Linked DNA regions of Arabidopsis thaliana. The protein of the gene in region 2 interacts with the protein of the main gene of each other region in a pairwise test. Each region holds a gene or a part of one and is shown on either strand. Other genes may lie near its edges. The genes, in order: MHX, PROT1, ANNAT1 and AGP27.

Region 1 (8,957 bases), 2.9 Mb from region 2:
AAGAAATTGTGTGGGGAAAATCGACGAGAGCTTATCAATTCATCTCACACTCTTCTTCACTCTCTTCTCTCTACACACACACACACACACACACACAAAATGGATTCTTCGAATGTTGAAGAAAACCTAAACCCAGAAACAAAATCCGCAGAAGAACAAAACCCACTTGCCATTTTCCATTCTTCTCTACCAATCGCATCTCTTTCTCTGACCTTGTTCCCATCCTCGACTCAATTTCTCAAATTGTTTGCTCATCATCCAAACAAGGTTAAGATCCCTACGCAGGCTTCTTCTCTCACTCATCTCTCTCTTTCTTCTGTCTCTCCTTTTCCTTCTTCCAGAATCTCTTTCAAATCCACCATCGCTGCTAACCCTCTTCAATCCCCTCTCTCCATCGTCCCTCGTCGTCCCGTTGATCCTTCCTCCGCCGCCGCTCTCCGCCGTGCTGCTGTCGTCTGGTTCCGCAATGACCTCCGTGTCCACGACAACGAGTGTCTCAACTCCGCCAACGACGAGTGCGTCTCCGTTTTGCCCGTTTACTGCTTCGACCCTAGAGATTACGGCAAGTCCTCTTCCGGCTTCGACAAAACGGGGCCTTTTCGTGCCCAGTTTCTGATTGAGTCCGTTTCGGAGCTCCGGAAGAATCTCCAAGCCAGAGGGTCGAATCTAGTTGTCCGTGTCGGGAAACCTGAAGCTGTTTTGGTGGAATTGGCTAAGGAGATTGGAGCTGACGCGGTTTATGCTCACAGAGAAGTGTCTCACGACGAGGTTAAAGCGGAAGGGAAGATAGAGACCGCGATGAAGGAGGAAGGCGTTGAAGTCAAGTATTTCTGGGGAAGCACTCTCTATCATTTGGATGATTTGCCCTTCAAAATTGAAGACTTGCCGTCAAATTACGGAGCTTTCAAGGATAAAGTCCAGAAATTGGAGATTAGGAAGACTATCGCAGCGCTTGATCAATTGAAAAGCTTGCCCTCTCGAGGAGACGTTGAGCTTGGCGATATTCCTTCTCTCCTGGATCTTGGCATTAGCCCCACTCCTAGGACTAGCCAGGTTTGAGTTCTTCATCTTTGCTTAGCTTGATTGATTCCTTTATCCATCTAGGTTTAGGCATTTAGAAAAGGTGGAAACTTGTGGGACTTATAATTCAAACTCTGCCAATTGGTTCCATTTCTATAGGAGAAGAGCTACTTACCCATAGAGTGATAGGGATAAGTACTATCAAGTGTTAATAGTAGTAGTGCTGTTTGAAGGTCCATGGATTCTTCTTAGGATCAATGAACGTTTCTCTTTAGGTCCAATATTCGTCTGCGGCTCTTACTGTCTTACACCTTCTCTTAGGAGTTAACATTTTGTTCTGCTCAGGAGGGGAAACCGACAATGGTTGGAGGAGAGACAGAGGCGTTGACTAGACTAAAGAGCTTTGCCGCGGATTGTCAGGCTCGGTTGAGCAAGGGAAACCAGAAAGGAGGCAACAACAGTGTCTTTGGTGCAAACTTCTCTTGCAAGATATCACCTTGGTTAGCCATGGGAAGCATCTCTCCTCGTTCCATGTTCGATGAGCTGAAGAAAACAATCTCCGCATCAACCACCTCCACAACTCCAAGGTAATGTCTCAGAAACGCAAAACACTTCAGGAAACTCTGGTGAACATAGTAAGTGTATGTGTCTAATTATCATTCTTTGAAATGATTTTCTCAGGAACGGACCGGGAGATACAGGACTCAACTGGTTAATGTATGAGTTGCTATGGAGGGATTTCTTCAGGTGAGCTCTTACTTTCTTAACTTGCCCCCTAGTAGAAATGTAGAATTTGTATTTTGTCTGATTCTCTCTTTGATGTGTGTTTAAACTTGGAACAGGTTTATAACCAAGAAATACAGCTCAGCGAAGACGCAGGTCGAGGCTGGTCCGGCTACAGCCTGTACCGGTGCCTTTGCTTAAACATTTGAAAACTTTCAGGTGACCGGAAAAGTTAGAAGCGACCTGTTTCTTTGCCCTACTCTGGTGTATGGTGGATTAATTTGCTATCCGGACAGGACTTTACTGCTCTCTTTTGAAACTTGAGTGTCAGGAGAATAAAATCTAAGCTTCTTTTTTTGGCTCAATCAAGTTGTCCGTTCCCTGTTCTAAACATTTCGGATACTCATTCCATAAAAAGTCTCTACAATTTGAGACGCTCTCCTTTGTGGTTAAGACTTGAGAATGTATCTTAGAAAATAACCGAAGTAGTTGTGTCTATGAATATTAAATTCAGGAATATTAAGATGTCACTAATATCAGAAGCAAGCAGCAACTAGAATATGCACTTCGTGGTAAATGGGCATTAGAAATTCTACAACACTTATTAAAGAACCGTACTAAACACTAGTTACTTGGATGAAAGTTACATATAAAAGTTTATATTAATCGACTAAGATTATTTGCTTGACTTTAGAGAAAGTTTGCATATATGTACCACAAATTGGTAACACTGCAAATAAAAAAACAAAAAAAACTGCAGGATAATGAAAATGTACTCCATATATGCACCTCCTAACTAGAGATGAAGCCTCCAAAATCATAGTCAATATGATTTATATTTGCAACACATATTTAGCCAACTGCCTTTGAACTTTGATAATTATATAAAACCCCCTTAACAAGTAAGAAAAACAAAAACTGAGACATGTGCAAGTAAGCTAAGACTTTTTCTTCTACTCATGGGGTTTTTCCTTTTGTTGCTTCTTCTATATGACGCCTGAAACTTTCAAAGAAGAAAGAACAACGAAGACGACCCAAAGCATCATGAAATAGGCAGAAGTAAGCCAAGCCCATAGCCTTGGACCTCCAAGCTCAGCTCCTATAATCAACCTTCTCAACACAAGCACCACGATACATCCCACTGATGTCGCAAAGAATATCAGAAGCGAAAAGCTTAATCCTTTAGCGTTTTCTATGTATAAAGGCTCTCTGTATGCAAAGTAGTTGTAGACTGTGTTTATCAGCCACGGAACTCCAATCCCCACATAGATGTTCACCGAGTTACTGCATAATTTATCACCAAAAAGATCATGAAAAGATCTTCAATGTTTGTAAAGGGTTTTGAGATTTTTACCTGCAGGTGATGTTTGCAATAGCTGAATCTGCGGTTAGTTGTCGCTCTGCAGCGATTTTACTTGCTACTAAGTCTGGCCATGAAGTTCCACTTGCGAGTGCTGTGAATGCTATCACATATGGGTTTATTCCTGCAAGATGAAAAGAGTTTCTAATGTTTTAGAGCTCAAATGTTTAATCTTATAACTTCAGTTTTTGAAAGCGGTGAGGGTGTGTACCAGTGACACAGCTTATAAGGTCAGTAAATCTTGTGACAACAAAGGCTACTCCACTGATGAAGAGGAGAGAGCAGATGAAAGCGATCCAACCGTGAGCAATGTTGCAGGGGGGCACAAATGCAAAAAGCAGTTTCCAAGGGGCGAGGAGTAAATGCCAGAAAGATTTCGCGATTCGAAGATAAATGCTATCCACTTTCTTTGATTCTGATGTTTCCAACTGTTTGATTACGAATAGGAAGAGAAACAAGTTAAGAAAGATGTGTTGATAATGATCAAAAGCCCAAAATAGGATATAGAAGAATCTAGAAAACACTTGGTAAGTTGAAGATTTTTACCGTTATTGCATCCACGAATTGATGTTTCCAAATGTCAAAAACAGTAGAATTCTTCGCCTTACCCTTCTTAGTCGCAGAATCGGGTGGAGTATCTGCCACAGTATGATAAGTGATCCCTGCAAAAGTGTTTGTTACAGGGAAAGTTTGATTTATAACAATATACTACCAGAGATAAATATGGGAATCACATAGATTTGGAAATAAGCAAATACGCTAAAACTGATCTTATATCAATAGAATAGACAGCCTAATCATACTTAGTACCTGTATCATTGTTAGCTGAATGAATAGAGAAGATATCAACAATGTTTCTGCTTCCCGATTCAACAGCATCTTGAGCAGCATCCGAATACACATCATGAACATCATTGTCATTGTCATCTTTGGATGTATCAATCTCCTCTGGAACCCACTCCTCTGGCCTATCACCTCTTGACCTGCAAGTATCAAATACAAACACAAAGATACAATCTTTAGTAGAAATCCATTTTGAAGGAACTAATATTATTGTCTGGAAAAGAAACCCACATTGGTAAAGACAAGTAAGGCCATCGCTTGTCTTGGGCGTACGCATGAACTAGAAGCAATCCGTATTGCAGTACTGTCAATAATGCCTCCACAAGTGTAATTACGTTTGGTGACCACACCTGTGAGACGTGAAAAGAAACAGATTTTTAGACCTTATCAGTATAGAGTATAGACTCAACAGAATCTGTTTAAACCGCTTTTCACAGTTACCTCGAGGATTATGTATAGCCAGATGTAAGCCCAAAAAGACCATACGAGCTCAACTAGCCAAACACCTAAGTCGGATATCTTTTTCAGTTCTCCAGCTTTTGGCACAACGACACAAACAGCGTGGATGGGGAAAAGATCAAATGCAGCTGAGCCAACAAGTGTTCCAGGACCAAGACCTATATGACAAAACATGATATAAGAATTCATGAACTTAAAAGTAAAAACTAGAGTTTTGGAAGGAAGAAAGGAACAACCACCAGACCTCCAGCATACCGCTCCCCCATATTCCGTATTGCATCGATGGTAGCCAAAGAAATCTGAGGGAAGCTAGTTCCAAACGCCAACAAACTGATGTCTGCAATAGTAAAGTTCCAAACTTTCTTGTATGTGATGACTTCAGCTTTAGTAATGGGATCAATTGTAACCACTTTACGGGAATGTTTCACGACATTCTCCATAGACTTGAAGAACCGTGCAGTGATGGCTGACAACCCAATAAAGCAGTAGGCAAGACCGAGAAAATATAACACACCCCTCAAACCATCTGACAAAGTGTTTTCTCCGGGGAATAGAAAGAAGTTTTCACATCTTAAATGCCCAAGAACCTTAGAAGATTCTTGCAACTCCTGGGTTTGATTAAGAATTGAGGCCATTGTAACTTATTCAAACCCCACCTCCTAATAAGTCAACTGAACACTTGTCCTCACTGGGGAAAAGAATCTGGCACACCAAAAAGAAGCTTACAACTTTTAGAAGAAACTGATGAAACCTGTAGCCTGATCGATCGAACAGTATCAAGAGGATGCGAAACAAACGGAACATGCAAAAAGATTTCTTTCCAGAGAATCTGTAACACAAACTAAACATTGCAAAGGATCCAATGGCATGTAACCGAAATCCAATCTATAACCAATGCTAATAACAATTGCATGTTCCACTGTATGCGTAATCAAAATCCAGAGGTAACCAGATCAAAAGATTATAACTTTCATCATGGGTTCAGTAAAACAAGTTGGGTTCTTTTCACAAAACCATAATTTTCAACGAACAAATCTCAACAAAAATAGCTAAAAAATAAGAAAAGAACAGATGAAACAGAGTGAGCCACGCGACGAAATTGATCAATGCGGACGTACCGGAGAATATCTCGGTGAGCGGCATTCACAATACGCCGATCACGGGAGAGATTTTCCGACAAACGGAAATCGAGAGGAGCTGATTGGAATCGGTCAAGCGTTGGATATTGCGGTGGAGACTTGGGAGCCATTTATACACATCTCTCTAATCTCTGCATGACACACTTCAATTATTGTATCGAAACGAGGATTCAAGCGTACATCGACCGACACGTGATCTTATCTAATTGGATGATTTACTTGACTAACTAGGATTAATTAATCTCGCCTTTCTTTGGTAAGGTTTAAGAATATGAGACCTCAATTGCAAGTTTTTTTTATATCTTTTTACTCCCTGAATTTTGTTTCATTTCATCCTTATAAGCATTAGATTTTAATTTCAACCTGAGTAATATTAGTTTTATCATCTCCTCGAGTTTAGATATTATCATAAACATATATCTTACTAAAAACCTGACCTGACTAATTTATTTTCTTTATAAAAGATAAACATGATAAATATGAAGTGTGAACGCATTATCAAATCAGAATTAGTGGATATATATGTATTTTGTTTTTTTCTGATTAAAAAAATTATTGAGATATATACAATTGAACTATGAGGACAAAAAATATATATATATATATATATCTTATTATATAAAGTATGGTTTTCAAAATTGACTTGGCACAGTGTCAAGTCAAACGATTAGATGTTTACATGTGTCATTCAAAATTTAACTTTTTTATTCTTTAAAAAAATAGAAAATCTTAAAAAGTAAACAAATTTACATATACTAATTTATATGTCTATATATTTATAAACAATTAACATTTATTCAACAAAAGCAAAATTAACAAATTTGTCTTTAACTCATGTAATCATAAGTGAAAATAGAACACTTTGAGAAAAATAGCTTAGCTTATAGGATTTAACTTTTCAATTATTTTCATTTATTAATTTTAACTCATTTAATATTAATTTGCATGATGTAAAATTAACTTACGAGATTACGTGGGTGATTGGTTTGTCTGTAACTGTAGATTTACTGCTGTAGAATTTTTGTTGTAGGTGTGATGACTGTAGCTGTAAGTTTTATTGCTGTAGAAATTAGACTGTAGGTTTTATTAATATAATTATTACTTAAAGAAATTGGGTAGAAATAAGATTTTGGTTGTATGTATTTTTAAACAAAAAAATATTATCGGGTCGGGTTCGGTTTGGGTTCGGGTTCGGGTTCGAGTTATTTATATATTGAAATATCAAATTTTGTGTGCAAATCTATTAAATTACTTGAAATTTTCAAAAATTCCCAAAACAACATGAGTAGTTTTGCTTGAATATATCTAAAAATACACAAAAATAACTAAAATATCCAAAAAAATTCTAATATTTTCTATATATAAGTATAAATATAACTAATATATACTTATATTTGAGATATGTTTGCATACCTATTCGGGTTTGGGTTTGAGTTTTTCGGGTTTTAAAGTTTATATCCGTTCGAGTATTTGAAAATTTCGGGTACACCCGCCTAAATAGGCGGACCTTATCTAGTATATATATACATTTGAACTATATTGTTTACTTTTTAGTTGATTTAGGCTATGTATGACATTGACATAAATCTACCTGTTATTTATCACGTGTAATTCGTGTAAAGTGTAAACTAGAAAGTTCAAATACGTATTTGTTTTTGTTCTGTTATATAGGATTGTCATAGTTGTAAATCTACAATTTATTACAACATGAATAAGTACACAAGCAATGTAATTGGATTTAATTGCTAAACTCTTTACATGGTCAATCTAAATTTGATAAGAAATACGTCACATATTACTAAGACTGATAGTTTTTTTGTTGTCACCAATTATTTTTGTTAAATTGACGAAAACAATTCCAAAAACTCAAATGTACAAAATCATACAGTCTCACAAACATCTCATAGAGAAAGATATAAATCTCCCATATGGGAACGATAACACGAGGTCGAAATACTATTCGTAAAACTAAAACGCCTTAGTTATAAATCGTTAGTTGTAACCGCGGTCGAGAATACATACAGATCCACGAAACTACTACTACACATGCTGCTGAATTGGAATTTGGAAAAGACCATCTTCTTTAGGAAGAGCTCACCCAATGAGTGACAAAGGTGTCGGTGGCTTGTTTTCTACCCATATGTATACATCAAATGGTAGTTTCATTAACGTTTGGTTTTGAGAAAAGTAAGACTTTGGCTAGTAGCTAGGTTCGTATATAATAAACTCTTTTGAGAAAGTTCATCACTGGTGGAAAATGTTAAACCGGTTTTTTCTCATTTTTTCCGCCATGTTAACCACCGGTTTAAAAAGACCGTAACACATTGAAAGATTAATAAGGGTATATTTGTAATTACGGTTTGCTGGCAATTTTTAATTATTATTTTAATTAGAGAAAATAGAGAAGCCCTATCAATGTACATGGTATATATATAAAAGGCAAAACCCTAGAAAACGATACTCTTCGACTCAGCCGTCCTTTCGCAGAAACCATTTGGAGTTGGAGCTTTGGACGACGACAATGGTATCATCTCTCTTCCTTCCATCTTCATTTCGTTTCATTTGGGATCTGTTAGTTGTTTGCTTTCATAGTAGAATCATCGAATTAGATCCTTCACGATAGAGTTAGTGTTTCCTGGATGCATTCTCGCTTGAAGATGAACACACATGGGTTTCGATTTCCTCTCGGTGGTAACACCATCATTGCTTATCTGCTTTGGATTTAGCTTTTGATAGATTTGGTAGTTGATATAGCTTATGAATCCATCTAGAAATTTGCGTAGAGAGCAATGTCACAAATGTTCTGTGGTTACTTTATCAATCTAATCACGCCACGATTTGGTTTTAGGCCCCGAAGAAAGGAGTGAAGGTAGCTGCTAAGAAGAAGACCGCGGTATGTTTCATTTCCAATTCTCTTCTTCTTTTTTAGGTTTTCGAACATTCAATTTGTTCTTTGTTGTTGTTTTTTTCTTTCTTGCTGAAGTTTTGTGTTTTGATTTCTGATTTCTCCAGGAGAAAGTTTCAAACCCTCTATTCGAGAGGAGGCCTAAGCAATTCGGTATTGGTGGAGCTTTACCTCCTAAGAAGGATCTCTCTCGCTACATCAAATGGCCCAAATCCATCCGTCTTCAAAGGCAAAAGAGGATCCTGAAGCAGAGGTTGAAGGTCCCTCCAGCTCTTAACCAATTCACCAAGACTCTTGACAAGAATCTTGGTATGTCTATTTCATTCTCAATCTACTCTTCAAACATTTACTACTTGCTGCTGTTAATTTATTATTGAAATATTTACCAGTTCTGGTAAATCTTGTGTTGCTGTAACCTTATAAGAAGACTTCGGTGCCTTATTTATATTCGTTATTGATAATTGCAGCTACCAGCCTCTTCAAGGTCCTTCTGAAGTACAGGCCAGAA
Region 2 (8,697 bases):
AATTTTCTTTTGTAAAGTTCATATCTTTACACAATTCAATTTGGGTTTTGTGTTTTCTTAATTGATTTCTGTTTAACTGGATTTTTAACTTTAGTGAAGAACCGGACCGGAGATGACTAACGACGAGTAACGATAGAGATTTGTCCGGTCTAACATTCCGGTTCGGTCCAGCTCAAAAGACCAAGATCAAAGCCAAAAGTCCTCGGTTATTATAGATGTAGTAGTATCACAAACAAGAAACTCAGAGAAAACTGGGAGAATTTTATGCCTGGTTCAATTATGGAAGACAAAGAACATGAATCATATCGAATACATGTAAACAACACAGCACATACACAAAAATAAAGAGAATTTGAATTCAAGATTCGGGAACGGCTGCTACAGCTGCAGCAGCTGCGGTAGCAGCAGCAGTAGCGCGTTTGATGGAAGCAGATTTGATGAGATGATTGTAACTTCCTTTCTCCTTGAAAAGCTGAGCGAAATGGTGCTTGCAGTACAATATTCCCTCTAGAGCTGCATAGTTCGATGGAGATATCGGACAGCCTCCATGAGAACACTTGAAGCAAGATTTATGGTAACACTGGCTTTCCACAGTTACCTACAATTTTTAGAAAACAGAACAATGAGATATAAGAATTGACTGTATTAAAGAGATCTCAACTTTATGTGATTCGGATCCATGTAACTCATATTGCAAATGATCCAAATAAGTTTAACTGTGATTTTCTTGACAACAATCACAGAGAGAACACAAAAGTGTATTGGAAAGCAATGGTAATGACATATACAAGCTTAAATGTATACTAACCTTTTCGATAGGATACACGGTTTTAGTGCAAGTAGCGCATTTGTCTTGCGTTCCAGAGAACATACCAGCAAGTCGACTAGGTGTCCTATTCTGAGAACAACCAAGAAGAGAAATAGAGTCATGTATCTCAAGTCGTGTAACTAAATAAAAACATCGTTGTTAAGAAGCGTTTACCAGCTCCGGGGTTGGCTTATCAGTCAATGGCTTTGCAGCTGTGAAAGGAAAAAAAAAGTTTGAAGATTAAAATTAAAGTGACCACATGTAAAAGCTGGACCAGAAGGTGAAGAAAAGAGTTTTACATACGTGACTGAAAGTTCTTGCTGAAACTACCAGACTCCTTGAAAAGCTGCTCAAAATGAGGCCTACAATACACCACTCCTTCCATTGATGAATAATTGCTCAGCTGTTCAGAAACCATCAACACGTTTTAACTTTATCACTTTAACGAAGACCAATTCAGATCAAGTATCTCTCTAGCTAAATATCTAAATGAAACTCTCAAAACACTAATAACTACATTTAGGAAAGGCAAAAGAGGAAAACTGACTTGAAGTCTGCTTTTGCAGTGAGAGCATTTGAAGCAAGCCTTGTGATAAGAGATTCCATCAGCTGAGAGAAGCTCCACAGGGTACACTGTCTTCTCGCACGCCCTGCATTTCTGCTGAGTTCCTGTAAACGACATCGTTTTTGAGATCTTCTTTCTACCTCCAAAGATCTCTCAGCTCAAACCTTCTTCCTCTGTAACAACAACATTTCAAAACCCAACAACACAAAGAGGTTTAACAAAAAAAACTACATTAACACATTCTTGACTTTTCACATTAGCCATTTGCATCAGTTCAAACAAATCAATCCATGGATCCATAACCACATATTTTGATTCAATCAGTACACAAAAATCGAATCTTTTTCTACAAGCATTGCAAAAAAAAATCTGATTTTTAACAGAATAAAATCGTTAAGAACTAACAAACGGCAAAATGGTTACCTCTTCGTCGATCTGATCAAATGAGATATCAAAAAAAGAAACCCAAAATTGAGAAGAGAGAAATGCAGGTTGAAATTGGAGCTGAGAATAAAAAGAGAGAATCAAAGAAGTCGCTGCGTGAAGATGAAGATGAAGAAGAAAGGTAATGATTACGGAGCACGATTGATAAAAAATATCTAACGCTTTCGTTTTTTTTTTTTTATCTAGAGCTTTGGTGGAGACAGTGGGGTTCCACTTTGGCCTGTCTAAATTATTGTTATAATTTCAAATTAAACAGCTAATCATTGAAAGATTAGGTTTTTGTTAAACCAACAACAATTCTGTTTCTTCTCTTCTCTATCTCACTAAATTAAGGTTTTTTTAAGTTAGGTGTTTTTATGTTCTTCTCTAATACTATGATTTACATTTCTAATAGAGACTTTAATCATGCAACTTAGTATTCTTTGTTGGTAAATTTTCAGAATGATTATGATGAAAGTGGTCTTTTATATGCTTTTTAGATTTTAGAACTTGATTTATTTATTTAGGCTCTAATGGTAAGACAAATAGAGAGAGAATACAAGCTTACAGGAGAAATAAACCTGCCTAAGAATAAAGGATACACAATTGACTATATAATATAATGAATTACAAATCTGCAAAAACATGGAAATTTTTGGAATCAACGGCGATGAGTCTGACAGCTGCAATGGCTGCAGCAACAGACATCAAACTAAAGAAGACAACGTTAAGCCAATGCCATAGCTTTTGCATAGCATTCAGCTTATTGTTCTTTGCCTTATAGTACATGTGGTTGGCTAGAATGAATGTGAGAGGGAATGTGCTCACTGCACCAGTTAGGCTCATGAAGTCACCGAGGAACGGCAACAGCGCTGAGATAAGCGTGCTTACCGCTATGTACCCGCCTCTCGCCATGATCCTAAACAGCAGGTTCTTTATCGCAAATGGGTTTCCTTTGATCCCATACTTTGTGTCCATGTACTCATATGTTGGACTCGCAAATATCTACAACAAAGAATTGAGTCAGACATATAGTTAGAGACGACAGTCTTTGTTAAAAAAGCGTAGACTTGGCGCTAAGAAACTTACGTGCAAAGAGATAACAGATTGAAGGATAGCAGAGACGTTAGCAAGGGCTTTGACCCAGAGTGGGCCATTAACACTGTTTAGTAGATAGGTCGAGGTTGAGGATCCATAAGCCCAATATCCGATGAATGTAACTGCGTACATCGGTAAAACACCCGCTGTGAATTGAAAGTATAGAGCCTTCATCATGTTTTTAACAACTGGTTGCCTCACTGTTGCCTAACATTGTGGAAATTATAGTGTCAATATGATTAACAAACAAACTTTGTTTAAGATGCAGGTTTTACTTGAACAAAAGGTACACTAATACATAAAAGCAAACACAAACAAACAATTGAACTTTGAAGTCTAGGGAAAAGTCACCTGAATTTCTGGAAGCATCCCGGTGTTGAATGCGAAAACCAGATTTGCGGCTGCTCCTGTGATGGTAAAAAGTTTGCTCAATGATGATCCTTGTATCTCGTAATCTCTTGAAGGTGTTTTTACTCCTAGAAACAAACAAAACAAAGCAAGAATTAGATTTTTGCAGTAGTTAAACTCATTAGTAATGTTGAATCTTGATGATCATTTGATTAGTTATACCATCTCTAACCGATAGCACGATTGCCACAACAATATAGATGAGACTGAGGAAGGTCGAAACTCCAAGCCAGACCCCAAGAGCCGATAAATGAGGAATCCCAATAGCGAAAATCGCACAAATCAAACCAGCAATGGCTATAAAATGAGGTAGTTTCATGGTATGATCATCCCTGAAAAGCACATAAACAGCCTGCAGAAACAGAACACACAACCAAAATTAACTAACTCGTCTAACGAAATCAAGAATCAAGAGAAGAAAATGTTTTACTACCTTTAAGGCGGAACCAGCTAGGATAATGAATCCACAATTAATCATGAAAAGATTAACATATTGCAATCCCCATGTAAGATGATAAGCCTTCCTACCTGATAAAAAGAGAGATCATTCCAATGAAGGTAACAACAGAGAAGAGATTAAGAGAGCTGGTTTGGTCTTTTATTTACCGTAAATGAATCCAGCAAGGTCTCTATAGCGAATGTGTCTTCTGCCACCAAACTCATGAAGCTTAGCTATTAGAGTGTTTGCATAAAGAGAGATTGCAGTAGCAATAAGAAGACCAACCACACCACCAATCCAACCTAAAGGAACCATAATTGTTCCTGAATATCCCAACACATACGCGCTGTTTATACCGGTGGTCAAAACGAACGCCACCTGAAACCATGAATCTGCACATTCCACAAAACATAGTATAAGCTTCCCAAAACATGATCTCAGTTTATAGAAAGCAGAGTTTTGGCAAAGCAAGAAAATTTCCCAATCTTATGGTTCCAGGATCATTAAAGAAAACATTTTTTCAAAAGGGTCATCGTTAAAATCATCAAAGTCAACATTTTGAAGTAGTCAGATTCTACTTCTTCTTCCTGGTGATACCATTTTCATATTTTAATCAAAAAAAGCATTAAAGAAATTGAAATTGGGGAAACAATCTCCGTACATTTAAAAAAAACAAAACTTTTTTCGACACATCTAAGCAAACACATTCTTATCGAAACCAGATTGAAAAACAAAACAACAATTGGAACAGAGAAAAACAAACCGCTGCTAATTTGATGAGCAGTGTCAGGGATTTCGATATCAACAACGTCATCTCCATCTCCGACATTGATTTTGCGATTCTTAGCTTCGGTGGCGGTCATGTTTGCTAAGAGACTTTCTCTTTCTTCTTCGTCTTCTTCGTCTTCTTCGTCGACCACATGGAGAAATTTTGAGAAAGCCAGCTTTTATAATTTTTTTAACAAAAAAAATTCTCTTTTTTTAGCGAATTTTATCCTTCACTAATATCGAAACTTTTGATTGAAAGAAAAAGCGAGCCCAAGAATCCAGCTCGATTCGCAACTGATGTTAAACAAAACAAAAACAATCTAATTGATTAGAAATCGAATCGAAGAACAAAAGATTGATTCTTTTTCTTTTTTTTTGTAATTAGTGCTTCTTTCTTACTTGTGACAGAAATCTCTTTAAAAAATTGGTATTGGTGGGTCTGAGCCGTTGAGGTTTCTTGTCTGAATTTGTTGTTTTGCATGAGAGATCGATCCTATAAGAATGCCGATATTTTTATTTTTATACTATAAAAAAAAACAATTTATAATATAAAAAAACATATATCTGCCTTATTAATGTCTTTCCATTTATTTGAGTTTTTTCTTATTACTTTCTGTTAGCTGGTATTTTTGTCTAGTTGTGCTATTTTGAGTCTTTGCCAAGTTTTGCTTATTTTATTTGAATTCATCATTTCAAGAAGATATAATAATTTTGCTGACGAATAATAAATGAAAATGTACGTGAACTAGGGAAATATGGATTTTAAGTGAGAAAAAAACAAACTATTTTAGTACTAATTGTTTGTTTTGCAAACTGATTTTTTATTTAAAAATATGGAACCATCTAAACACATTAGATTTGTGTTGTTGTCGAAGCTACCTTGTTGAATGTTTGTAAGTGATGATCTTCTCAATCTTTACGATATTAATTTAGTTATATGTTATTCTCAAGCTACCAATTTTGGATACAGTTTTGTTTTCTTAATACTTTACCAAAATATATCTAGGTTGAGAAATACCCGATTTATATACGTTTGTACTTGGCTTTTATGGTTTTTCTTAGATTATTTATATAAGTTTGATATGGAGAAGGAAACACGTTAAGTAAAACTATTGATAGTGATTTGTTTTATAGTTTAAATAAAAGGTTAAGCTGATCGATATGCGTGGAAAACTTCTACATCACACTTAAAAAAAAAGTTTATACCTAAGTTAACATCTTACAGAATGTGCATCTTTAGTCTCTAGTCAAATGATAATGTCTTTGACTCTCGATCATTTAAAACTTCAATACATTCTCTTTTACACAATTTTAATATTTTTTTTTTATCTATAATAGAAAGTTCTTTTGCCTTTAGAAAATACAGTAAAGTTTAAAATTGATACTATGAGAAAAAATTACAGTTGGGATTTTCATCGAATTTATCGATATATTGTTTAATTTAATAGTACAACATATTCTAGAGAGCAAGTTGATTGGAGGCGGAGCCATGCAAGTTACAGTCTATTGGCTGAGGTTAATGGCAGAAGCCAGAAAGGACACAACTTCCTATAAATCTTAAACCATTTGGAAGTACCAACTCAGACTTTATACATCTCCAACTGTTCAAATTAATTAACGGATATGTTTTGAATCAATCTGTACATGATTGCATAATAAGTGACTTGTGTTTACTGAAATCATATGCCACTCACTGACCATGACACAAAACAAAATTCTTTGCAGAGAATATAATACAAATAGATTACCAATCAATAAAATAATTATAAATAAGTATTTAGATGTGGATATCGAGTTGTCGACTATAGTGAAGTTTCCTTTTCTTTAACAGTAGTTTTTGTTCCAAGTGGGGTTCTAGATGAATATTGTTTTTGAAGAAAAAAGAACATATTCATGACAATTTTAGATTGAGTTAAGTTCCAAAAAAAAGTTTTACATGGTTACAAAAGCCTGTATCATTTAAGGCAAAAATTGTGATTTGGCTAATATTACTGATATTGTATTGATCATACACTCGTGCAGTTGAGTTACCGCTTTAGATGTTGGTACTTGGTAGTAATATTAACATGCATAAAACAAACGTTCCTTTCTATATGATAGTTGAGAAATTACTTAGGAATAAGTATATCTCGTTTATACCCTAGATGCTGTGAAGTGCCTTAATAATGGACCATAAAGGAGTCTTACTGCTGTGGACGCAATTAGTTTCAAGGTCACTTCACAACAACAAAGTCTAGAATATTCTATAAGCAAACTTTGAATTACTTTTAACACCGAAAAGAAAGAGAAAGGAGAAAACATCTTTTGGACCATCTTTATTTTGGTAGGAATATAATTTGGTAAAAATTTGACTAACAAAAGTTTTATGAGTACAATTATTGATTGATATGATATGTAGATGCCAATCATTTTCATCTCAAACATTGTAATAAAACGTAATAAAAAAATTGCACACAAGAAAGTTTTGAATCAAGATGTGCATGAGGATGAATGGGTAATAGGTCATTATGGGATCTGAAAATATTGGGTTCGAAAAATTTGGGTTGTGCAAGTGAGGTATGATTGAGTCCTTGAAAGTCCATTCAAAACATTCTTTTACCGCTTCTCTGCCAGTTTCATTGGGTTGAAATAGTGTTTGACCCTCCCTCGCAACCATATGTTCAAGCTCAAGACATATGATTGATGTAGAGGCCACTTGAGCACTCTTAATTGCATCTGGCAGTAAATGAGGAGCACTCTCAAGACGAGTATCTGTCTACATATCCACGGGTTGTTCACATTTAGGAGCCACCCATCTCCACAGTCTTTATATTCCTATCCCATAGTCCATACTGGGCTTTTTAAGCTGAGCCCATGATTCTGTTTGTTTTTCTATTTTAATTCAGTTAGGTGTTTTGTGCTTTTCCTTCTTTTATAAATTTTTTAATTAATTTTATAACTTCATAAAAATGGGGAGAAAAATGATTGTACGAACGAATAGTAGGTAGAGATATGCATTTCGTATGTACGATATGCGTATCCATGTTTGCAAATAAATTTAGTCAACCATGGAATGGAACTAATGATGTTGTCCTCAAATTTATCTTGAGCTGCTATTTTCAAATAGTTGGATTTTACTAATTTGGAGTGTAAATAGATCGTTACAAAATATCGATTTTTAGTAATTAGAAAGAAAAAATGTGTAAAGGTGCTACAGACCTCCAAACACCCGATTAGAGCCAAGAAAGTATTTAACCATTGTATATAACAAACTGAGTATTTGAATTTGATTAGGGTAAGAGGTTAAATTGTTCTAAGTCCTACATTAACCAATAGATGTGTCCTTGTTTAGTCAAAGTTCTTTCTATTTTACGAGATCCAACGACTTGGGATTTGGGATTTCAAACTACCAAGTAAGCATGAAGTACATAGTCTCGAATGAACGTAATTTTAAGTTATACTACCATATATTTGGGGAAATAATTGATATGACATATATATATATATATATATATATATATACATATATTGAAAGAACAAAAGTTTTCGGAAATAGCCATGGATGTATTTCAGAGAAATTTTAAACTAACTTTAAAATGACGTCTTTCATAAAATATATAAATTTCATAAGCTAATTTTTAATTGGAAATTCGATCTCAAAATCCAATGAAGAAGAAAGCCAAAAAAAAACAGGTAGGTGACTTCTTCTTCTTTTTTGGTTTTGCATGATTAGGTCAAAATTCTTTGAAACTTACCTTTTAAAAAATGAAAATTGTAAGAAGAGAGTTCGTATACTGTTGTAGGCTTGAGATACAAGGTTGCGGAATCTTAAAGCCAGCAAAGTTCCCGGTGAAGTATCCATGATAGTTGAGAAATTTGCCATACGATCGAAGAGGAAGCTACCGAAGGATGAATCCAAAGAGATAGCATGATCCAAAACCAAGCAAATTTTTGTGATTTATTTGCCAATTATAAAGAAAATATGGGGAGAATTCACCTTAATTAGGATCAATGCGATCCCTTTGGATCCTTCCTCTAGTTGCTATGAAGAATTTGTTCAACTCTCTATCTCTCTCTCACTCTAAAAGTTGAGAGCAATGTGGTTTTTGTCAATGGATCGTGTTCCTCTTGATTTTAAATAATACTCATTTATCTTTTAGTTTCCACTTTCTGACCCTTCAAATTTATTTATTTATTTTTATATTATTT
Region 3 (7,814 bases), on a different chromosome or scaffold from region 2:
CAGCCTCCGTACGTACACTCACGCAACAACATTCTCTCTCTCTCTCTCTCTCTCACAAACCATTTCTTGTTATATCACCAAACCTCTCCTCCTCTCTCCGTATTGTTTCCTTGGCTTTACTCTCTCTTCTCTCTCCTTCTTCGTTTGTAACCTTTACTCTGTTTTCATGTTCGGAGAGAGATTCATGGGTTTTGGAGGTTTTAATGGAGACTTCAACTTCCGAGGAGCTTCCGATCATCGTCCTCTTGGTTCTGATGGGTTTTTACCGAGTCTCGACACAAACCCATTTCTGAAAAACCACAAGAGTGTTGAAGCTCTGGATTTGTGTAAAAAGCTTCACAAAATGGGTATCTCTTGTGACATGAGTATCTGGACCAAACCCGAAGAACAGTTCCGGGTCGACCCGAGTGAGTTTGGGGCTAGAACTCTTCATGGGTCTTCTGGGTTTGACCAGAATCTCACCGGAGCTTCTCAGATTCATGATGGGTTTCGTAACTTTTCCTCTGTTCGTCTGCAAAACAACAATTTTCATGGAGTTTCTCCATCTCCGGGAGAGATGAGATTACTTGGCCGTCAAGATTCCTTTAACCTAAACGGATTTGAAGAGATGTTAGCTCTTAAGAATCACAGAGATTTTCTCTTAGATCAGATCCATGAACCCATAAAGCGTCCTCCTTTTCTCAGAGGCAACGATGCTCTCATAAGTTCGTTGATGTTTGAAGGAAATAATAGGGTTTCTCAAACCCTAGCCGCCATGGAAGCTTCTAGAGGTTTTTATCCAGAGGAGGATAGTTCTCTGCTGAGTCCATTTCACGAGAAGGTTTCTGGAAAGCTTGGAGCTTCTTATCTAGAAGATACAGTACTAATCGGTCAAGGCTCTTATGGGAAGATGAGTCCAAAAAGCAATAATGATCTCGTCTCCATGGTTGAGATTTATGGATCTGTGAACTTAATGGCGAAAGATCAGATTGGTTGCAGAGTTTTGCAGAAACTGGTCGAAGAAGGAACATTTCATGAAGCTAAGGTTATATTACTTGCAATCATTGACCATGTCGTTGAACTTTCCATGGATCCTTTTGGGAATTACATTGTTCAGAAGCTGTTTGATGTGAGTGATGAGGAACAGAGGACGTTGATTGTGAGTGTGTTAACGTCAAATCCAAGGGAGCTTATCAGAATCTGTCTTAACACTTATGGGTAAGCTTCACCTTTTTTTTTATCAACTTTTAGTAAATTTGATTCATTAGTTTAGTCAACAAGTCCACGAGCTCAATAGAGATGGAGACATTTCAGCTTTTGAGGATTAAGATGAGATCTTTCTTGTTTTTTTGGGGAAGATGAAATCTTTTCTGTTTATGGAAATATTTGAAATCTCTGCATTAGTTTTGTAGCCATCACTATCAGTCTATCACTAAAAGAATGCAACATTTGGTAGAAAAGAATGAATTTTTATTTTTACTTTTTGCTGTTTTTGGACAAACCAAAACTGCTTGCTTCAGGAAGAGAGAAAAAAAAAGCTGAGACCTTTGGGCAAAACCCTCTAAATCCGCTTACTTCTGATTACAAAAGGCTGAGAACTTTTGGCCAAAAGCATAGAAATTTGCTGGTTTTGATTTGTGGATAATATGTTTTTGAATTCTGATTTGTGGATAATGTGTTTTTGAATTTAAACAGGACAAGGGTTGTGCAGAAGATGATTGAAACTGTGAAAACAAAACAGCAGATTGCATTGGTGAAGTCAGGTCTCAAACCGGGGTTTCTTGCTCTTGTCAAAGATCTGAATGGGAACCATGTGATACAGAGTTGCTTGCAAACCCTTGGCCCTAATGACAATGAGGTTACATCTTTTGTTTCATACTCAAGCTTTCGTGAATGTTGTGAAATTTGGTGTTAGTTTGAGTTGGAAGCAGCTACAAAGTAATGTGCTGAGACTGTTGTTTTTGTTTCTTACTTAAGATCTGATTAATGTTGTGAATTTTGGTGTCAGTTTGTGTTAGAAGCTGCTACTAAGTACTGTGCTGAGATTGCTATTCATCGACACGGATGCTGTGTTCTTCAATGCTGCATTTCAAACTCTGTTGGACTGCAACGTGAAAGACTCGTCGCTGAGATATCAAGAAACTCGCTTCACCTTTCTCAGGATCCTTTTGGGTAAATTTAGTCTCCACTTAGACTTAAAGATTTGGTATAGTTTGAAAAACTCTCCTTATAGTTAATGAAATTTGGCAGGAACTATGTGGTGCAGTACTTAATAGATCAACAAGTTTCTGCAGTGAAGTTGCTGGTTCAGTTTAGAATGCACTACGCCGAGTTAGCTACTCAGAAGTTTAGTAGCCACGTGATTGAGAAGTGTCTAAGGAAGTATCCAGAGAGTCGAGCTGAGATCGTCCGTGAGCTCCTCTGTGTTCCAAACTTTGAATATCTTCTGCAAGATCCTTATGCGAACTATGTGATCCAAACTGCTCTCTCTGTAACCAAAGTAAGTCCAAATCAATACATATGTTATAAGCTTTTAGAAACAGAACTTGACATGGCTTTTGGGGTTGATGCAGGGACCTGTTCGTGCTAAATTGGTGGCGAAGGTTTACAGGTACGGGAAACTACACTCGAGCCCTTACTGCAAGAAGATTTTCTCCAAGACCATCTTGAAGAAGTGACTTTGATTAGTAACTAAAAAATGTTGTTGTTGTTATTTTGTGTTTCAAGATCGGATAGGGCTTTAGAGAAAACAATGCCCTTAACTTTTTTGTTGTTGGTCTCCCTTTTTGTAGTGACAACAACTTTTGTCAAAACCAGAACTACTTGTTAGTCTGTGTTTTAGGCCAATGCTCTTCATATATATATAACTTAAGAGACCACACTGGTTCTCTCTGTCTCTCTCTTTTGCATTATTTAGGAACTCAAAACACACAACAGAAACAAACAAGGTTTTTGTAGAAACAAAATCAAACGATTTGAAACTCATCAAAGAGAGAGAGAGGGAGATAAGAGATAACAGAAGCTGTAGAGCAGCTTATGTTTCTCTGTGGAGGATTGATTGATTAAGCATCATCTTCACCGAGAAGTGCGACGAGCATCTTCTCGTAATCTCCACGAGTGTCTTTGGTAATAGCTTTCTCCAAAGGAATGCTGTTCCTGCGCTGGTACTCCTCTCCAATGACCTTCAAGTCAATCTCAGCTCTTGTGGTCACAATTCTAGTGAGTGCTCCTTCATCAGTTCCAGTTTTGTTGATTGCTGAACGAAGAACATCGACAAAGTAAAGCTCTGGTCTTGTCAAGCACTGAATGGTTGACCTCAAAAGTGCAAGGAACTTGTCATCATCATCTCCTTCCTCAAGACTCTTGAGAATTTCCTCGCCATGATCATCTTGGTAACGGTTAAAAGTAGCATTGATCTGAGCTTTGCTTCTTGTGGACAAGATTCTAATAACATCCTCATCATTGTAGTGCTTGTCCTTGATTTTCTCATGGACCAGCTTAGCTTCTTGCTTAGCCAATGTCATGTTCACTTCATCTCCTTCGTACCTGTATGAGGTAACAAGAGAAACCAAAAGCTTTCTGAAGTCACCGGTAGTGTGGTGAGCAACGTCCTCTTCAAGAGACTTCTTGTAGCGAGCATGGTAAGCTTGCCTAGCGTGAAGCAGCTGCGTTGATGTCCTTGTGCAAGCAACTTCCATAAGAACTTGGTTGCTTGAAGTCCATCTTTTTGTAGCTTCATTAGCCAATAAAGCATCACGCTCACCGGGTTCAAGAGTCCACAACAAGATAGCTCTCTGTCCATGACCAAAAAACCAATTAGAATACAATGACTTCACACAAGATGTTTAAAAGTCGATACTTAAAAGTCCGAAAACCGAACCTCGAAATCGTTAGAGAGCTCCTTGTCAAGAGTCTTGAGAAGGTCTTCGCCGTAGGTTTCGTGGTATGCTTGCCTGATGACTTTCCTCTGTTCAGCACTTCTGTGAGCCAAGATTGATATGATCAAGTCCTCGTTCGTACCCCATCCTGCGAAAAACACGAATCAGATTCACTTTACATAACCATCAAAGTCACATACTTCAGATCCAAGTCACACACACTTCAGATCCATAATAACAGAACCGGTCAAACAGATTCACAAAATATAAATCTTAAGATCTTAGTGTTGTATTACACGTAACTACATTATAGATCTAGACTAAGAAGACAGATCTGTGACAGTGAGAATCAAAACACAACTCAATCAAGATCTCGTGTGAATGTAATCATTGTCATTATCAACATGATCAGACAATCAAAACTTCATCACTAACACAAAAGATTGTTATAGATCACACAAAGAAAGGAGATCATTGTCACTGATCCGATCCATGAAGGAACAATCTCGATCTACATCATCGTACAAATGATCATAAAACGCTACCGACACAACATTCATATCATCGGACCAAAACAAAGATCGATCCACATGAAAAACAATCAAAACAAATGATCATACAATAACCCACCAAACGAAAACCAACAGATTCACATCACTTTTACAAAAAGTGGATACTGATCATGTAAACAAGAAGGTAACAAAAACAGAGAACGTAACAAGAAGAATCATGAAACTATTATACCTTCAAAAGCGGTTCTCAATTGCTCAGCATCATCAGAAGGAGCAGGAACAGAATCAGAAACCTTAAGAGTCGCCATTTTTCTTCTACTTTTAGTGTTTTGTGTATGTTGGGAGTCGAAGCCGACACAAGATTGACTTATAAAGGGAAAGGCTAAGAGGTTTAGGACACGACGTGGCCTGTCCGTATATACCAAAAATATCCCAAACGAATTATTAATTCTTCTGCCACGTGTTTCTTACACTTTATGAATTATTTAGCATTTGCTTAACTTTATGCACAAATCATGATTTCATAAAAAACTATCGTAATCTCGCATTAACGGTTTCATTGGTTGTCACAAAATCATCCGCAAGATTATAAGTGTTTAGATTTCGTTATTATAATCCATTTTGTATTATTTTAACACGTTACAGAGTACAAGAGTGTAAGATTTTTTTATTATCACTTGCAAACGTGATGTCCATTAGAACTCATTATACAAAAAAAAACTTATTTCTTTCTTTACAAATCTCCTACTATGCATTTTTTTTTTTAATCTCCTACTATGCATAAGAAATCTCTTACTAATTCTGGCGATATACAGATAGACAGTATCCAAAACTTTATTTGAATGTTCATATGTGAGGAGTAACACAATGACCATTATCTAAAAATGCTTTTAACAGTTTTTTTTTTTTTTTTTTTTTTTTCATTTTTTTAACTTCATAGATTTCCATTAACCAAACACATTACAAGACCAAAAGGCCTAACATGGCACGCAAGCCGCAAAGATAAAAACAAACAAGGCCCAAAGACCAACAAGGGCGCAGCCCAATACATACAAAAGCTGAAGCAGGCCGAGAAGCCCAAACAACAACAACAAAAGCTGAAACGAGAGTCGACACCCCTTCCTGCAAACACAAGCAAGAACAGAGAACAAAAGCCAACAGAGATTACTGTTGCTGTATAGATAAACACAATGATAACATAGAAATTGATGGAGAAGTTCAGTTTCTAAGAAAATGTAGTGGAGATTGACAACATCGTTGGCCGAGATTCTGGATTTGCTTGTAAACACAATAAAGCCATTTCCACCATCTTCAAGAGCTTCTCTCTATTTTGTCCCCGTGGTTCTAATACACGTTCATCGGAAATGCTTCTTAGCGACAGAGCTTCTCCTGGAGACGAAGACAAACTCGATACCAAATCTCCCGGATGTTTCCCAATTATCAATTCGAGTATCAAAACCCCGAAGCTATACACATCGCATTTCTCCGTCACCTTCATCGTGTAAGCAAACTCTGTTGCGAAAAATCAAGTTCAATTTCGAATTTAGTGATTTAAATTTCATAAGCTCAAAATCAGATTTAGGGATTTAGATTTACCTGGTGCAACGTAGCCGTAGGTTCCAGCAACGGCGGACCAGTTTGATGAATCCGTCTTTAGAAGTTTTGCTGTACCAAAATCGGAGATCTTAGCTGTGTAATCGTTATCGAGAAGGATGTTTCCGCTGCTAATATCACGGTGAACGATCGGTGTTATTCGGTCATGGTGCATATACGATAAAGCGTGAGCCACACCTTTCACGACGTTGATCCTTTTGGTCCAAGTGAGTCGCTTAGCTTCTTCGTCGTTGGCTAAGAGTTTGTTTAAACTTCCTTTTTCCATGTACTCGTAGATCAGAAATGTGTGGCGGCGGTGGGAGCAGAAGCCGAAGAGCTTCACAACGTTGCGGTGACGGATCTCTGTTAATGCTTTTACCTCGTTTAGGAACTCTTGCTTCACAACTGGCTTTGATATCTCTTCGTCTATTGTGTCATGTAGTCGTTTAACGGCTATGATTGTATCTTGGAGGTTTGCTCTGTAGACTTTGCTGTATCCTCCGGTTCCGATGAGGTGTGTTGGATCGAATTCGTTTGTTGATTCGATGATATCTTGGTATTTGAATTTGCCATCAACGCTGAATATGGACATATTCTCTCCTGTTTCAGGATCTGTGTTTCTTCCATTTTGTAGTTTTCGTTTCCGAATGCAGTAGGTGAATGTGTTTGCACATATAGAGAGAATGACGAGTACTCCTAGGATTGGCACTAATATCCACACAACAAGGTTGCCATTTTTCTTCGGTTTCTTCAACTCACGGCATGGTTTCAATCTTTGTTTAGGAATATTACTGCATAAGCCTATGTTTTCCTCCAATGCATCTGCTGTTGCTTTTCGAAACGTTGGAGTATCTGGAAGCGGACCTTCGAGTTTATTGTTTGATATATCGACGTTCGTCAGCGCTATCATGCCCTCGAAAGTTGTTGGAATGAGACCTGAGAGATTGTTGTGTGAGAGGTCGAGCTTGTCGAGGCTTTGCAGGGAGCTTAGTTGTGATGGGATTTCTCCGTCGAGCTGGTTGTGGCTGAGATCAAGTTGCGTTAACTGAGTCAGCTTTGATAGTCGGGGAATGCTTCCGTCGAATTTGTTTCTGCTCAGGTTCATGTCATGAAGCTTTAAAAAGGAGTCAAAGGTTTGTGGGATCTCTGAGCTGAAATTGTTTGAGGATAAGTCAAGAGACTCAAGATTGGTTAAGAAACTTAAACCTGCAGGAACTCTTCCAGATAACTGATTCCCATTAAGTCGTAGCCTCGACAAATTCGTGAGATTTCCAATTGCTTCTGGAAGTTCACCAAAGAGGTTGTTGGTAGATAGATCCAGCTCAACTAGTTGTGTCATGTTCCAAATCTCTGTTGGGATAGCACCCGTGATGTTGTTGTTTGACATGATCAAGGCACCTAGCTTTGGACTCTTCTCCCAGTTGCTAGAAATCTCACCGTGGAATTTGTTGTGGCTGAAATCAATGAAGTTAAGGTCTGGGTAAATCCCAAAAGCTTCAAAAATATCGCCAGTGAATTTGTTTCCTAGAAATCTTGCTCTGATCAGGCTCTTGCAATCTCTCAAGCTTTTCGGGATAGGACCTTCGAGGTGATTGTAATCCAATGAGATATTTTGAAGCTTCCTACCTTTGCAAACAGTTTCAGGAAAGAAACCAGTGAAGTTGTTGGTGTCAAGTATCAAGGTAGTTAGATGTGAAGAGTTTGCTACTCCTGGCGGGATCGCACCAGAGAGGTGGTTAACACGAAGGTACAAACTTTCCAGCTTGGTAAAGTTACCAAAGGAATCAGGAACAGAACCTGTAAGTTTGTTCTGACTTAAATCTAAATTGATCATGGATTCCATGTTGCCTAG
Region 4 (6,375 bases), on a different chromosome or scaffold from region 2:
CTATACAATTTTAGATACTAATTCAATCAGAAATCTAAATTCCACAAATCACGCTTCGTGTTTTTTTACATATATATAGGAAATATACTCTTAAAGCTGAGATTTGGAAATGGTGATCGGATTAAGCACAATGCTGGAAAAAACAGAGGCTCTTTTCGCTTCTGATCATGCATCGGTCGTCTCCATGAATTTGTTCGTAGCTTTGCTTTGTGCTTGCATCGTGCTTGGTCACTTGCTTGAGGAGACTCGGTGGATGAACGAGTCAATCACTGCTCTTATCATTGTAAGCTTCGTTTTTTTTGTTTCCCCAAATCTTTAAACACATTGCTTAGAAACATTCTAAATTTGGATTACGCAAAAATAGGGTTCGTGTACTGGGATTGTGATCTTGCTTATAAGTGGAGGCAAAAGCTCAAGGATTCTTGTGTTTAGTGAAGATCTCTTCTTTATTTATCTTCTTCCACCAATTATATTCAACGCAGGGTAAGTTCTTTTTATATAGAATTTCATGAAAAATTGAAAGTCGGAATTGAGTAACACATTTTTTTGTTACAGGTTTCAGGTTAAGAAGAAGCAATTTTTTCGCAACTTCATGACCATTATGTTATTTGGTGCTATTGGAACTCTCATTTCATTTGTTATCATCTCATTTGGTAAAAAACCAATCTCAATCAACTCCCACATTTCAATATCATGAGTCTCATATATTTTGATGATGTTTCCGGTTTTGTTTTTGTTATGGCTAGGTGCTAAACATCTTTTCGAGAAAATGAATATCGGTGATCTTACCATTGCGGACTATCTAGGTACCCTGAAACAAAGAAAACCCTTTTCAAGTTCTTATTCATTAAGTCTCATACTGTTTAAATCTGTACTGATGATTTTGCAGCCATTGGAGCAATATTCTCTGCTACAGACTCTGTTTGCACCTTGCAAGTAAGAACTTTTTTTCTGAAACATTCAAAGATATTATTCTACTACATTTTCTAATCAAAAATTAACTTGCACGCTTTGTTAAATCTAGGTGCTTAATCAAGACGAGACACCTCTCTTGTACAGTCTTGTCTTTGGAGAAGGTGTAGTGAACGATGCCACATCGGTCGTGCTCTTCAATGCAATACAGAGATTCGACCTCACAAATATCAATTCAGCCATAGCTTTGGAGTTTGCTGGAAACTTTTTTTACCTCTTTATCTTAAGCACAGCACTTGGTGTTGCAGTAAGTTTCTTTCTCTCCGCTCCTCAAATTTCTAAACCCGAAAAATTCTCACTCGTTTTCTTTTAGGCTGGATTGCTCAGTGCTTTTGTTATCAAGAAGCTCTATATAGGAAGGTATATTCGTATCTACTGATGGTTAAAAATGTGATTTTACCCTTTCTTTAATAATCCTTTTGCTTTGTTTTTGTTTTGTTTTGTAACATCAGGCACTCTACTGATCGTGAAGTTGCACTTATGATGCTATTGGCTTACTTATCATATATGTTGGCAGAGGTAATAAGAAAAATTTGAAACGTTTTGGTTACATTTTTTCCAACAGAAAATGAAAACATGATACATATATCCTTTGCAGCTATTCCACTTGAGCTCTATCTTGACTGTGTTCTTCTGCGGGATTGTTATGTCTCACTATACATGGCACAATGTTACAGATAAATCCAAGGTCACTACAAAGTAAGTTTCTTTTTCTTCTCCCAATAATTAGAAAATAACTCTACTAATTTGTTGTGCTTGATTGACTAAACTGTATACGTTTTCTTGGCGTAGACATACTTTTGCTGCAATGTCATTTCTAGCTGAGATTTTTATCTTCCTTTACGTTGGAATGGACGCTCTCGATATCGAGAAATGGGACGTTGTACGCAACAGGTGAGACTTAGAGTGTGATAATACATCAATATCTTTTGTTTCATTTTCATAATATTGTTTAACAATTTTGGCAGTCCTGGTCAGTCGATTGGAGTTAGTTCAATACTTCTTGGGCTTATTCTTCTGGGTCGCGCCGCGTTCGTGTTTCCACTTTCCTTCTTGTCCAATTTAACAAAGTCTTCACCGGATGAGAAAATAGACTTAAAGAAACAAGTAACCATTTGGTGGGCTGGTCTGATGCGTGGTGCAGTGTCAATGGCTCTTGCTTATAACCAGGTTTTGATCCGTGAACTACAAGAAACAAAGATAAAAAAGTGATCTTTGGGTTTTAATAAGTTCCCATGACTTAATCTCTTCTCTCTGTTACATCATAGTTCACAACTTCAGGACACACCAAGGTTCTTGGGAACGCTATCATGATCACCAGTACCATCACTGTTGTTCTTTTCAGTACTGTGGTACGTTTCAACACTTTGTTCAAACCGGTTTGCTTCCTACTGAAGTCAAATCGGGTTTAGCCTATCCAACACGTAACCTAATCTCTAACCTTTTTTGCAGGTGTTTGGATTGCTAACCAAACCGTTAGTCAAACATTTGCAGCCTTCATCAAAACAGTCCTCCACGACCGCGCTGCAGATCACACTAAGATCTTCTTTCCACGATCCGATCCTCCATGAGCCGTTGCTCAGTACCCAAGGCCAGTCAGAATACGACCCTGAACAACATGTTAGCTTCAGAATGTTCTGGAAATCTCCGTCCAGGGCCATTCATCATTACTGGAGGAAATTCGATAACGCAGTTATGCGTCGCATATTTGGTGGCCGAGGCGTTTCACCAGTAGTTCCAGGTTCACCCATTGAGAATAGTGTTCCGCAATGGAGTGAAGAAGTAGAAAACAAGGAACAAAACGGCGAACCTTGATGACCATAATGACATGAGTAAGATCTTTGACTTGTTGATCGCGTTTTTTGGCGTTGTTGGACGCAGACGCAACATGGGCCGGCTCTAATTTTTTGCCTCCAGTTTTGGTATAATGGTTTTGGATGTGAGTTCTTATTTGCCCGGTGTGATTTTTTGGTTTGTGGTGTGATTTTGTAAAGCCGGTCCGTTTTTCGTTGTTTGAGTTTGTGGTTTTGTTGAAAAATTGTAACTGTCCATGTAAATAGGGACTGATATAGGGGTGACTTGAGTACACCTAGCTCATATGCAGACGTTAGCGTCTGCGTTTGGAGATTCGAGTTTGCGTTGGTGGGACGTGAGCAGATTTTTTAATCTAAAGTTTGTGTACACTTTCTTGTACTTCTTATACAAAACAAAGGGACACGAATCTTTCTAATGTTCATAATTTATTACTGGGTTTTGCAAGAAACTTGTTGACAATATACAAATAAACTGATAACTTATATATAAATATAACTTTTGAGAAATCTAATCTTATTTTTATGCTTGCACGTATATAAGGACAAAGTGAGTGGGTATCAATCAACCTTATAGTAACATATACAATCTTTCACGCATAAAACCCTATAATGTGAAAACAAGAAACGTCCTTTACATATTTCTTCTCACCTAGATATTATTAATTTTAATATTGAGACTTTGAAACCCCAGAAATAAGATAAAGTGTGGGACAAGAAAAGAAGGCACCTTTTTTTGTTGTTGCTTTTAGCCGTGAGGCCAGCATATGCAGTAACTCACATGCATGCGCCTCTAACCTTGTGGCATTTTAGGAATTATGCAATAATGCACTATACTTAAATACGTTAATTCACAAAGTAATACATTCATTCAGTTCATAAACACGTCTCAAGATTAAGACAAAAATAATCATAAAAAACTGGTGTTTTACATAAACTTATGTCGAAATTAATTAGTAGTCTACATATAATTACTCAAGTGTTATTTGCATGTAAACAGTACAAATTTTTGGAACGTTTGATTTTGATACTACTATAAACTGCAGTATACTGTAAAGCATGCATATGACGTCACTTTAATTTGAAACGTAATTTCAACTTTTTCAAAAGGTTCTTTAGCTTAGCGATAAAAAAAAAAAAAAAAGTTAGTGTATAGTAAACGAACAAATGAAATGAAAAGAAGAGAAAAGTATAAGTCCTCAAAGTGTATTGAATCACTTAACGGTAAATTAGTTTTTATTTTTATTTTTATCCAGAGTTCTTAAGTTAATTATGCATCAATTATGTGGTTCTGACGTAATATATTACTTGCGTTTTTCATCTAAACCAATCTAAAACTGTAACAAAATGTTAAGTGGAGAACAATAAAAAATACAAATAGTAAAAAAAAATTGAAAATCAAACTAAATCTAATTTTATTCGTTATTTTTAGGGGACAAATAAACTCATGAAAATAATGACGTACGTGGTCTAAAATATATGAATGACCTATATAGCTGAAACGGCAAGAAGCCGGAGCGAGAAACAATAGACGGCGGCGAAGACAAAGTAGATGAAAACTCCGGGAGCTTGAGAAGACAGAGAAGCAAGAGATGAAGCCGGAGGAGAAGCCGATGGAGCGAAGGCGGGATCAGGATCTGCGGAAACGTCGTCGTTTTCTGGTTCAGGAAGTGTTGAAGAAGAAGGGATGGTTTGAGTGGAGGAGACGGCGGGTGAAGGGAGGAGAGGAGCGATCTCCGGTGAGATCTTTTCTTCAGAGGGAGAGATTGTTTGCGAAGATGGGATTGTATTTGTCGTCGGCGAAGAGAGAGAAAGTGAGGAGAGAAAGATGAAGGTGATGAGTGTTAGCAATATAGATGAAGCCATCTTTTTTGGTTACTGTAATGATGAACAAATCAAAGCTGAGTTGTTTTTTTCCTTAACTGATGAGAGCGCATTTTGTGTTGTAATAATGATACTGTCTCTATAAAAGAAAACTTTTAGCTCTAATAGTAAAATATTATAAATTGATTTTAAATGGAATTTGTCTCACCTTTTTCCAAAAAGATTATTATTTATCAATTTAAAGGATGTGTTCGGTGGAAAAGAAAATATATTTGCTGAATTCTTGAAGATGGGCGTAGATCGAGTTTTCACTTTTTAGTAGAAGCTCTTATATATTGCACATATTTTCGAATAAACATGTGCTTTACTTTTTGCTGAAAAATATTATGTTAATGCAAATTATACATATTGCTAAGTACGAGTAAAGGCATCTCCATCCATGAGAAACCTACAAAGTTTCTAAAACAAAAAAAATATTAATATTATATTATAATTTAATTATTTGATTAAAAAAGTAATTTTGTTAAAAAATTGAATCAATAGTGAGATGAGAATTGTCATGATGGGTTGTAGAGAATATCTCAAAATTTTTCAAGTGAGAAACTTTCTACATTTTCTCTCCTTCATTTTCATTATTTTTATTTTTTTAATTGTGAAAAACTCTTATGAAATACCTTCAATGGAGATGGTCTAATTACGTTTGTTGTTGCCTCGTTGGATGTTCAAATAAAAAGCACATTTTATATTGGGTTGTTCCTAAACAAATATTTTGTTGTCTTTTGTACTAAAGTTTATTGGCGAGTTAAGAAAAGCTTTGTGGTGTGTGGGAATTATTATTATTATTTATTATTTATTGTTCTTTAGTTTGCTATGCAATTCGAGCCCACTAAAGAGGCTTCCTATGGGCCCAAAAAACGCAGCCCACTATTGTAGTGCAAAACGTGCTGAGTTTTCTACATTGCATGCCCAACAATGGCCACCAGTGTAGTTAAAGACTCAAGAACTTGCTGACCTCTATTTGTTTGACTTTCTTTTTTGTGTGAACAAAATCACATATTGTTGATGTCATTTGTTCTGCTATAATTCTTAACTTCAGATTACAGATAACGAATTTTCTCTTGATGATTTAAACAAACATATATAATTGTCAATATCAGAAAATGAAAAGGAGATATAAATAATTTTTTTTTGCGCCTAATCGAAACTTCACCTACCATTTTTTAGCGTATAAAAACGTTAAAAATACCAAAATTTAGAAATCCAATAAAAGTTGTGAAAAAAAGCCGCAAAGGGTCGTTGTTGTTTGTCGCCTCTCAATGGCAGCTTCTTCAACTAATGCTCGTCTCACCAACCCTCCTCGTCTACTCTCCAAACCCCGACTTTCACCTACCTCCGTCGCCAATCTCCGTTTTCCAGCCGCCGATTTCTCCACTCGCTTCTTTGCCGATTCTTCGTCCCCGCGGCTAAGGAGTGTACCGTTTCCGGTGGTATTTTCCGATCAAAGGCGCCGGCGAAGCATGGAACCTAGCAATGTCTATGTTAGTGATTCTTCCTTTAGTTCAGTTTTCTTTTGTTGTTTTCTGTTCCGTTTTTATTGGAGAAGGATAGGTAATGATGAATTTGCAGATTTATCGCTTCAAATAAATTTGGTATTAGTTTTGGATGAAGACTTTGATGTTTCGTGTACAACATTGGTTTAGCTATTTAGAATCGATCTTCAGAATTTTTGTTTAGTTCTGAGAAGTAGTTGGATTTTTAATTGATTGTG

The links.
Region 1: the proteins of PROT1 (region 2) and MHX interact in a protein complementation assay, tested with the Arabidopsis thaliana proteins (one large-scale study listed by BioGRID).
Region 3: the proteins of PROT1 (region 2) and ANNAT1 interact in a protein complementation assay, tested with the Arabidopsis thaliana proteins (one large-scale study listed by BioGRID).
Region 4: the proteins of PROT1 (region 2) and AGP27 interact in a protein complementation assay, tested with the Arabidopsis thaliana proteins (one large-scale study listed by BioGRID).

What each region holds. Positions count from the first base shown.
Region 1 is NC_003071.7:19,521,789-19,530,745, forward strand, and holds MHX (magnesium/proton exchanger), read right to left. Parts: upstream 5,793-8,957; 5' UTR 5,524-5,792; intron 5,108-5,523; 5' UTR 5,041-5,107; coding exon 4,650-5,040; intron 4,564-4,649; coding exon 4,388-4,563; intron 4,297-4,387; coding exon 4,178-4,296; intron 4,087-4,177; coding exon 3,914-4,086; intron 3,766-3,913; coding exon 3,650-3,765; intron 3,532-3,649; coding exon 3,315-3,531; intron 3,228-3,314; coding exon 3,098-3,227; intron 3,028-3,097; coding exon 2,730-3,027; 3' UTR 2,329-2,729; downstream 1-2,328. Other genes in the region: PHR2 (photolyase/blue-light receptor 2), read left to right, coding at 100-1,053, 1,366-1,607, 1,702-1,767, 1,863-1,944; AT2G47610 (Ribosomal protein L7Ae/L30e/S12e/Gadd45 family protein), read left to right, coding at 8,066-8,068, 8,393-8,437, 8,557-8,758, 8,917-8,957.
Region 2 is NC_003071.7:16,651,929-16,660,625, reverse strand, and holds PROT1 (proline transporter 1), read right to left. Parts: upstream 5,050-8,697; 5' UTR 4,605-5,049; coding exon 4,505-4,604; intron 4,279-4,504; exon of another isoform or gene 4,134-4,278; coding exon 3,909-4,133; intron 3,831-3,908; coding exon 3,736-3,830; intron 3,655-3,735; coding exon 3,465-3,654; intron 3,371-3,464; coding exon 3,246-3,370; intron 3,102-3,245; coding exon 2,886-3,101; intron 2,802-2,885; coding exon 2,424-2,801; 3' UTR 2,214-2,423; downstream 1-2,213. Other genes in the region: AT2G39910 (ARM repeat superfamily protein), read right to left, coding at 1-22; WLIM2a (GATA type zinc finger transcription factor family protein), read right to left, coding at 359-598, 809-898, 983-1,020, 1,112-1,211, 1,356-1,490.
Region 3 is NC_003070.9:13,222,167-13,229,980, reverse strand, and holds ANNAT1 (annexin 1), read right to left. Parts: upstream 4,814-7,814; 5' UTR 4,678-4,813; coding exon 4,602-4,677; intron 4,006-4,601; coding exon 3,860-4,005; intron 3,774-3,859; coding exon 3,042-3,773; 3' UTR 2,742-3,041; downstream 1-2,741. Other genes in the region: PUM9 (pumilio 9), read left to right, coding at 167-1,197, 1,675-1,837, 1,988-2,151, 2,230-2,479, 2,553-2,657; AT1G35710 (kinase family with leucine-rich repeat domain-containing protein), read right to left, coding at 5,595-5,881, 5,966-7,814.
Region 4 is NC_003074.8:1,927,250-1,933,624, reverse strand, and holds AGP27 (arabinogalactan protein 27), read right to left. Parts: upstream 4,758-6,375; 5' UTR 4,650-4,757; coding exon 4,272-4,649; 3' UTR 3,941-4,271; downstream 1-3,940. Other genes in the region: NHX4 (sodium hydrogen exchanger 4), read left to right, coding at 110-283, 365-483, 556-653, 747-806, 890-936, 1,025-1,219, 1,286-1,332, 1,425-1,491 and 5 more; MEE32 (dehydroquinate dehydratase, putative / shikimate dehydrogenase), read left to right, coding at 5,924-6,145. UniProt on the Arabidopsis thaliana protein: Proteoglycan that seems to be implicated in diverse developmental roles such as differentiation, cell-cell recognition, embryogenesis and programmed cell death.